Macaca fascicularis: one gene and its partner. The protein of the gene in region 1 interacts with the protein of each later gene in a pairwise test. Links are inferred from orthologs where the notes say so. Each region holds a gene or a part of one and is shown on either strand. Other genes may lie near its edges.

The links.
Region 2: the proteins of RGS19 (region 1) and GNAZ interact in a two-hybrid assay, tested with the Homo sapiens proteins (2 studies listed by BioGRID). The link is inferred for Macaca fascicularis from reciprocal best matches to the Homo sapiens genes RGS19 and GNAZ.

The regions. Positions count from the first base shown.
Region 1 is NC_088384.1:120,217,460-120,222,018, reverse strand, and holds the start of RGS19 (regulator of G-protein signaling 19), read left to right. Parts: upstream 1-1,455; 5' UTR 1,456-1,521; exon of another isoform or gene 1,522-2,101; intron 2,102-4,118; exon of another isoform or gene 4,119-4,256; intron 4,257-4,411; 5' UTR 4,412-4,479; coding exon 4,480-4,509; intron 4,510-4,559. Other genes in the region: protein LKAAEAR1, read left to right, coding at 512-529. UniProt on the Homo sapiens protein: Inhibits signal transduction by increasing the GTPase activity of G protein alpha subunits thereby driving them into their inactive GDP-bound form. Binds to G-alpha subfamily 1 members, with the order G(i)a3 > G(i)a1 > G(o)a >> G(z)a/G(i)a2.
Region 2 is NC_088384.1:29,632,000-29,635,941, forward strand, and holds the start of GNAZ (guanine nucleotide-binding protein G(z) subunit alpha), read right to left. Parts: upstream 2,801-3,942; 5' UTR 2,585-2,800; intron 351-2,584; exon of another isoform or gene 230-350; intron 1-229. UniProt on the Homo sapiens protein: Guanine nucleotide-binding proteins (G proteins) are involved as modulators or transducers in various transmembrane signaling systems.

The DNA of each region.
Region 1 (4,559 bases):
CAGGTGGTTGTGTGTGGCCTGGACCAGGTGCTGGCCCATCTTCATTGAGCTTCCCTGACCTCACCTGTGCCCACCTCCCAGGAGTGTTATTTGGGCTGAATAAGCAGCAGCCTGCCTCTTGTCCCTGTGGACTTCCTGGCCCCTGCCTTTGCTTGCCTGGCCTGATAACATGGCAGTCACAGGGTTCTGCAGTCAAGTCGGCCAGACCTCTGGGTACAGCTGCGAGAGGCAGTCTGTCCTCCAGGGCCCTCTGACCTCTGACCTCTGACCTCCCCCTTCAGGCCCTCACCCCCCTCGGCAGTGCAACACCCTCCCCTCTCAGCCCTCCCGCCTCTCACTCAGGCCTTCCCTGCCTGCTCCCCACAACTCACTCTATGCCCCTAGCATCAGATCCAGGCCCATCTATGTTGCTGGCTTCTGGTCCCACTGCCTGGCCCACAGGGGCACCCAGATACTGATACTTGTCCATTGAATGAGGAACACAAGTAAAATCTCCCTTTCCACCCCTCAGAGTTCTGTGAAGGTGTAAGGTGTGCACCTGACCTGTGCAATTGGAAGGCATTTGATGAACAGGACCCCGACATTGGGAGCTATCCGGGTCGAGTGCTTGTGCTGGGTAGGACGGGAGCTGCACACAGCTGGGCCCGGGGAGGGCGGGGGGCACAGATGCTCTGCAGACACTTCCGGAGCAGGGTCAGGGCCACCGACACTGGGCCAAAGCATGCTGCGATGAGAAGCCTGGCCCACATCTGTACCGAGTCATAAAGGATGAGAAGAGTCAGCCAAAGGGGACAGTGTGGCTTTAAGCCGTAAGACATCTTGGGACACACGGGTCAGCAGGGACTCTGCCAGGCCCCGCAGGAGACATTCGACATGACTCCGGGTGCACGAACCCGCACCCCCAGTTCTCCCCAGCCCCGCAGCACAGGAATCTCCCCCTTCCTTGGGAACCCCCCACAGCACGACAGGCTCTTAACCCAGTTTTACAGACGAAGCTCACGGAGGCGAGGGGTGGGCCGGGCTGGCGTGCCCGCCGATCGGTCCTTTCCAGCAGCCGCCTCTTTCCCAAGCAGGGCAAGCAGCATATGGGGCCCCGCTCTCCTGCCTCCACACTGGAGTGTCGTGCAAGTCCCACACGAACAGCAAGGCAGGAACGGCCCCGCCGAGCAGAGTCGGGGGCCACGGCCACACCCCCATCTACTACCGTGCAGCTCCGTCGGCCCGGGGGCCAGGGCTCCACTACGAGCACCTCAACCCTCCGGGCCACCCCCAAGCGACTGTGGGGGCCGAGCGCGGGCGGGGCGGGTGGGGTGTGGAGCCGGCCGAGCGCGGGGCGGGGCGGGGCGCGGCGGGCGGGGCGGGCCCGGCGCCTCCCGGCGCGAGGAAGTCCCGGCCCCTGGCTTTGGGGAAGTGCTGCCGAGGCGCCTGCGCACTGCGCCCCCGCGCCCCCTCCCCGACTGTCGGGCCGGACCTTGGAGCGCGCGGGCCGGCGGCGGCGCGAGTGGCTCGGGAGCGCGGCTGGTGAGTGCGCGCGCGCCGCGCCGGGGACAGCGGCCCTGCCCCTCCCGGCCCGGGCCCGGGGACCGTGCGGGGCGGGAGCTTCGGGAGCCGGCGCACGGGACTCGAACCCCAAGGACTCCCGCCGCCAGGTCCACGTGGACCCTGGGCCGCAGTGGAACTGGAGCCCGCCCCCCGCGCTTGGGGGAGGGGGCGCTGCAGCCGGGTTCCCCTTTTTGTGGAGCTCAAAGCCTGGGGAAGTGATTGCTTAAAGGTGGGGGCCGGAAGAACCCAGGTTTCCGCGTCTCCCTCCCCCCCGCCAGCCCGGTGAGGAGGGGCCGGGGCGGGACACCCTGTCCGCCCCCGCCCCCACCCCGCTGGATCTGGCAGCCACTCAGCCCTTCGAGCTGTAGGGGAGGCGCTGCGCCCCCGGCCCCAGCCGATCGGGGGCTCCTGGCGCTAGCCTCCCTCCAGAGCGCCGCAGGAGTCCCTCCTGCCGTCTGACTTGAGTCCCTGCTGCTGCAGTGCACGCCCCTTCGGCAGCCAGGGTGGGGCCCAGACCCAACCTGGCCCCTCCTGCCCCCACCCTGCCTTTGGGTCGCTGGTGAGTAGGGAGCATTGAGGTAGGGGTGGGGGCGTCAGAGGCTGGAGAAAGAGGCACCTGGAGGAGGACACAGGCTCCTCCAGGCGGGACCCTAACAGCAGCCAGAGGAGCGTGGTGGGTGGGTCACCACCACCATTTCAGAGGTGGGGAGAGCTGGCCTTCCTTGGAGGGGCCAGGCCAGGGCTCATCCACCAGCCAGATGTGGAGGGTGGCAGATGGGAAAGGCCCTGGGTGGGCGCTAAGAACTGAGAATGGAGCCCCTCTTCAACCCCTCCCAAAGGTTATGACATTTTTTTCTGGGATTGTCACATTTTCTTATTCTTTTTTTGGACTGGGCAGGCTCTGGGACGTTCTTTTTCCTTCTGTGGAGCAAAGCAGCAGCCACTCCCAAGGGAGCCTCTATCCCCAGAGACCAGACGTGCCGCCTGTCCAGACTCTCCCATCCCAGACTTGGGGGCCAAAGCCTGGGAGGCTGGGGAAGGGGGGTCCCCAATCCCAGGATGACAAGCAGGAGGACCCTAGTTGAGACTCTGTATCCTCCAGGAGAGAAGGGGGTGTAGCCTGGGGACATGGGTTGCCCCAGCTGACCTGAGAAGGGTACAGGAAGCCCAGTCCAGGGACAGGTGACCCGGTCCAGGGCCTGAAGCTGGGAAAGAAGGGGCTGGCTCCCTCCTCTGCAGCAAATGCAGCCCCTAGCACCCCGGCCTGGCACCCCTAAACATGTCCCCTCCTCCAGTTCAGAGCTGGGGTGGACATGGTAGCCCAGGAGGGACAGTCTCCGGGGTGCTAGAGTGTGGGGGAGGACCCTGGGTGGGGGCAGAGAGGAGGAAGAACTGCTGCCTGGGGAAGTCACAGACAGCCCCGTCTGGGCACAGCTACCAAACCTCAGGTTGCCACGCCCCTTCCTTTCCCTAGAAACTTGACCCCTGAAAGCAAGCCCAGCTGCGGGGCCACCTTCTGTCTCCTCATCTACTTGCTAGGAACCTGTGGGACCCACAGTCTCAGAGGAAGCTGGGCAGGCGGTGAGGGGCCGAGGTCCCGGGGGATGCTGCACCTGCCCCAGACTTGGGCCAGGGCAGTGGCCTCTGCATGCCCAGGCCTCAGGGGTATTGGGGGCCCTGAGAGTGCAGAACTCCAGCACTGTCTCCTCTGAGCGCCATTCACACACCGTCCCAGAAGGCCAAGAGAGACCAACCAGACAGAAACAAGCATTCAAAGGCCACAAGCTAAGGGAGGCGTGGCGGGGGGGATGAAGATTGAGAAAATAAAGTAGAACCAAGTTGTGAGCTTCCTGGCCAGGGAGGAGGGTGGTGGACATGCATGGAGGCCCAGAGGGCAGAGGTGGGCGCAGGTGTTCACAACTGCCTCCGGGGCACTGATTGGCCCCCCTGTGCCATTGCCCAAGGAGACCTGGGGTTCAAAGTGGTATCTTAGGTGGCACGAGGGCCACCCACAGCTTTGGCGCTCCTGGTGCACCTCCCCTGCCGATGGTGCAACCAAACGCTGGGAGGTACACGCACCACACCACACCCCTCAGGGACTCTGAGGCTTTGACTGGGGAGGAGGGTGCCTCCACCCACTGCCACCCCCACTTCCCTGGCTGGCGCACTGTGTGGTACGGCCTTGGTTCCACAGCGGTTTCACAGCCTAGAGGCAGTGGGCAAGGAGGGAGGGAAGTCTTGGGAGGGAGGTAGCAGGACCAAAGAACCATGTTTGGGGGGCACGTCCCTCCTCACCAGGGCCCTGCCCCCCTCCCCACACCCTCAGAGAGTCCAGCCCTGAGTCCCACTTAAAACCTCACTGCGGCAGGTCTAACCTGCTGCCCCTGGCTGAGACCTCTGGGACCCGCAGACAGACCTGGACTCTTGGTGGGAGCTGCTCTGCCCACTCCCCACCCCAGACGCCCTAGAAGCAAGTCTGGCCACCACCCGCACGCACAGTTGGTAGCCCCAGACTCTTGGGGCCCCTTTGGGAGGGGCTGGGAGCCGGAAACCGAGAAAGAGGAACCCAGGCTTCCGGCTTCCCAGGGAGTGAGCGGATGGGGGTGTCTCGGAACCTTCTGTGGGGGCCTCATCTGGGGCCCAGCCTGGGAGGAGGGGCCAGAAGTTGCTGCAGCCCCCTCCTCAATGACCCTAGACCCCCTCCCAGCCCTGCTGTAAGCTTGGGGTTGGGGTAGAAGCCCTGGACAGAGCCGGGTCCAGAGGCAGGAGCAGGCCCTGCTAGGGAGACACCCTCTCAGGACCCCTCCTAAGGGACAGGCAGGGGCTGGGGTTTCAGGTTCTCAGTCAGAACCTTGGCCCCTCTCCCTAGACCCCCAGGCTGTGGTGAGGGTCTGAGAGCTGGCACCACGGAGCCTGGGCAACCTCCTCCGCCCACCCATGCCCACCCCGCATGAGGCTGAGAAGCAGGTATGCCACCTCCCCTTCTGCCTCTGCTCCCCTGGGGTAGACGGGGTGGG
Region 2 (3,942 bases), about 91 Mb from region 1:
TCAGCAGCAGTGAGAGTGCCTTTGCCGCCACACAATTAAGTCTTCTGAGGCTAGCGTGGGACAGACAGCACAGGGCTGCCTTCCCTGCCTCCAGAGGAGGAAGCTGCACACATGTGTTCACACACAAGATGACTAAATTCAGCATTCCTAAATTGCTATATTCAGCATTCCTGTCCTACTGGCCTCTCTGCGGGGGCCCTGGGCAGCCCTGTCAAGTCCATCCAGTTACCTGCAAATTCCTGGAATTGTTCTAGAAGCTCCTGAGGTCCAGACTGAGCCCCACCCACACTCCTGCATCGGGTTCCAGCCACTCTGGTGGGGCCTCCAGGTCTCTGAGGTTCCTCCTGAGACTAGAAAACAAAAGGCCTGAGAGGCTGGGGACAGAGGGAAGAATCCATTCCTGGTGTCCCAAACCCACAGTTGCATGCCAGGTCCCTGCAACAGTCCAGGCGACAGGCACAGAGCGCAGCAGCTCACCCTGCTCAGCACAGACTGCACACCCCACGAGGGCAGGCCCTGTTCTCGCTGCATCAACCTGGGCCTTGGCCAAAGCCAAGTGTGTGTTGGGTGGGGAGGGCAGGAACACCACAAAGATGAGTAACAAACAGTTCCTTCAGAGGGAGAGCAAAACATCCCCAGAAATGAGGGGGCTGACCTAGGGCAGAAAGTGACACCAGCTTCCGAGGGGGAGAAATTATGCCTTATTCACCTCCTGTCTCAGAAAATCAACGTCTGTTAGAGGAACACACAGGAAGACTTTTAAACCAGATGCCAGCATCTTCTCATTCCTAGAGAATGAGGCTTGCTTAAGGCGCATATTTTATCCAAGCACCGCCAGGCCATCCACACCCCCACTGCACCCCCTAGATGGATGCTCCCAGGCTGCCACGATTACTGCTCTCAAACATCCACATCCCAGAGGCACAGAGTCACCAGCTAAGCATCATCCCCAAAACAGGCAACTCAATCCTAACAAGGGGGTTGCCTGGGTGGTTACCCGGTGCCCTGGCTGTGCCCAAGGGAGAAGTGCCTGGAAGCACAGACTCAGACTGCAAGGAGCCTTCCCCAGTCTTTTAAGCTAGCCCTTCTCCAGGCCCACCCCAGCTCATGGGGTCATGGAACTGCTTCGCTTTTACAGATGAGGAAGCTGTGGTTTCCACCACAGCCACAGCTAACCAGCAGCGAGGTCATTCCACTTCCAAGCTCCCTCAGCTCCGTGCAGCCCCCACCCGCCTTTCCCGCCATACCTCCCACTCCTCCCCAGGCTTGCCGGTGCTCCCATTAGACCTAACCGCCCAAGTGCCTTGGTCCATTCTCTCCTCTCTGCCCACAATGCCCAGCTTAGCTGTGCCCATGTCCTTCAAGCTCCAGTTCAAATGTCATGTTGTCCACGGGCTCACCTGACCCCCCAGCGCAGGGCACCACTCTAAGGTCCCTACCAAGGCCCCTGCACCTGCACTCAGGCTGGGTTGGCCGAGTAGAGACGTGTTCCCCTATGGGGTGGAGAATCAGTTCTGGGAGGGGAGGCCCAGTCCACTCCCACCCGGTGCACCCCAGCACCAGGCCCTCGGGGAGTGAGCACTCAGTAAATATTTGCTTAATTGAATTTGGCCAAGGAGCCTTCTCCAGAGAGCTCAATCCCCAGGGCAGGGAAATCACTTGGGCAGAAAGGAGCCGGTCAGGGGCTGAGCTGTCTCCCCAAGCAAGACAGACCTCTCTACCAGGCGGGTCCCTCCACCTCAACACGGACTCCGTGGAACACTGGTCTTGCTTGGCATCGTCCTCTTGTCTCAGTAACAGGAGCCCCAATTCTCGGCCTAGGCCGAATCCTGCCATCATCACCCAGAAAGGCTCAGCACCGCCCTAAAGGCAGAGCCCCCTCGGATCGCCCGCAGGATACGGAGCGCCTGCCCTGAGGCCCTCACTCCCCTCCCCCAAACACCCCCACCGCCTTTTAAGGGAAAAAATATTGAGCCGGGAACGTATTACAATCGCAGCAGGTCGATACTCATCTCTTGCTCTAAATGCCTGTGAGGAACCTGCTCGCTTCAAGAGCAGTGACCGAGAACTACTAGCCGTCCGTCTCCGGGCCCAGGTCCTCGGGCCCAGGCCTCTGGGGCCCTTTCCTTGGTTTCGGGAAAGGCCCTGCATCGGCTCCGGCCGCCCCTCCCTGATCCCCCTCTAGGGAGACCCGCCTCAGCGCCGCTCCCGCAGCTCGCCTTGCCCGCCCAGGCTCCCCACCAGCCGCTGCTCGGGGTCGCCCGGCAGCCCCGCGCGGCATCCCCGGCGCCCTCTGTCCATCGTCCCGGGTCCGCAGCCGCCCCCTCCCGCGGGGTCATGGGCTTGGCGGCGCCTCCCTCCCCCAGCACCTGCCCGACCAGAGGCCGCCCCCTGCCCACCTCGCAGACGTCCCCGCCCTTGGTGTCCCCCACCCCTGACGGGCATCCCTGACGCTGCGTCCTGGCGGATTCGGGGCACAAAGGCCCGGGAGGAGTACCAAGTGAGGGCAAGGTGGACGCCCCGGTCATGCTCCCGACCCCCGAGGCTCAGCGGCGCGCGCCCGGCCGCGGGTCGGCTCACTCACCTCCGGGCCGCCGCACAGAGCATCTGCTGAGCTGCTCCTGGCAGGGCGGGGCGGGGCGGGGCGGCGAGCGCGGGGCCGCGGCGCCCTCGTTCCGTACGACGCGGGCGGCGGCGCCCACGCGGGGACGTGACCGGACCGCGGGCGGCGCACACGCTCCGGCCGGCCTGGCTCCCTCCGCCCGCCCTCCCGCGCCGCCCGCCGCCAGCCCGCTGGTCCGCCCGCCCCGCGCCGCGCCGCCGCCGGCAGGGGGCGGAGCCGCGAGCGCAGCCCGTTGCCAGGCCAACCGCGGGCGGGGGGTGCCGCGCGCCCGCCGGGCACCACGCGCCGGGCACCTCCGCCCCGCCACGAGCTCCGACCCTCTGTCCATTGGGCACAAGCAGCTGACGGACGGGCCAACAGTCCAATGGGGACGGACAGGGGCGGGGTCGCGGCTCCGCGCGCGCCGCGGTCCCGCACGCGCTCCCCGCGCCGGCGTCCCAGTGACTCCGCTGCGCTGAGGCCTGGTAGCCGAGCCCGAGGGGCTACTTCTGGCAGCCCGGGAAAACGAGCCTGAGCCCAGTCATGGCCCTGGCCCTCTTAACTGCAGCCAGTCGTCCCGGCTCACCTTCTCTCCACTCGGGTTCAAACCCAGCTCGGCCTCTTGTGAGCTCTGCGTCCTTGGGCAACCGACTGACCTCTTCCAGCCTTTCTGTTTGCAAAGTGGGGCTAGTGGCACCTGCTTTCCTGGATTGTCTCACCAATCCTTCAGAACGTGTGAAAGGCCTATGCAAACCCTAACGATTTACAACGGTGAGGTTTGTGCCGCGATGGGAGGGGGCATTAGTCATCTCTGCTGCTCCAGTGTGTAGGGGCTCTTTGGCGTCCCTGGCAATCCTGGCACACGGAAAGGTGGACTTGGGAGGGAAGGAAGGGAGAAGGACCAAGGAGCTGGCCCCCAGCCCAGAAAAAAGTGAGGGAGCCAGTTCAGTTAAGGCCATTGGCGCTGTTGGGAAGCTCGTGGAAAGCATCAGACCCTCAGCAGAATGCAGCTGAACCCAGGCTGCAAAATTCTGCTTTCAATTTCAAAGCCTGTCTGTGGACCTCAGGGCCAGGAGCCCCCTCACTTCCATGCTTAAAAGACTCTCAAGCCAGAGGGCCAAGACGTGAATGCTGCTCTCTGTCTTCTCCATCTTTGTAACCTGAAGCTTTGTGTATCCTAGAGCATCCCTGGCAAAGTGCAGATGCCTTCCCAGCTAACACCTTCCTTATCACCTTACACCTCTGTGGTCAAATTATGTGGATCGTGCCATTCTTTGAGCAGCAGCCCTGGACCTGACCATGGCAGAGGTCAATAGAGTGGTCTCTCCATCGTAGCTCTG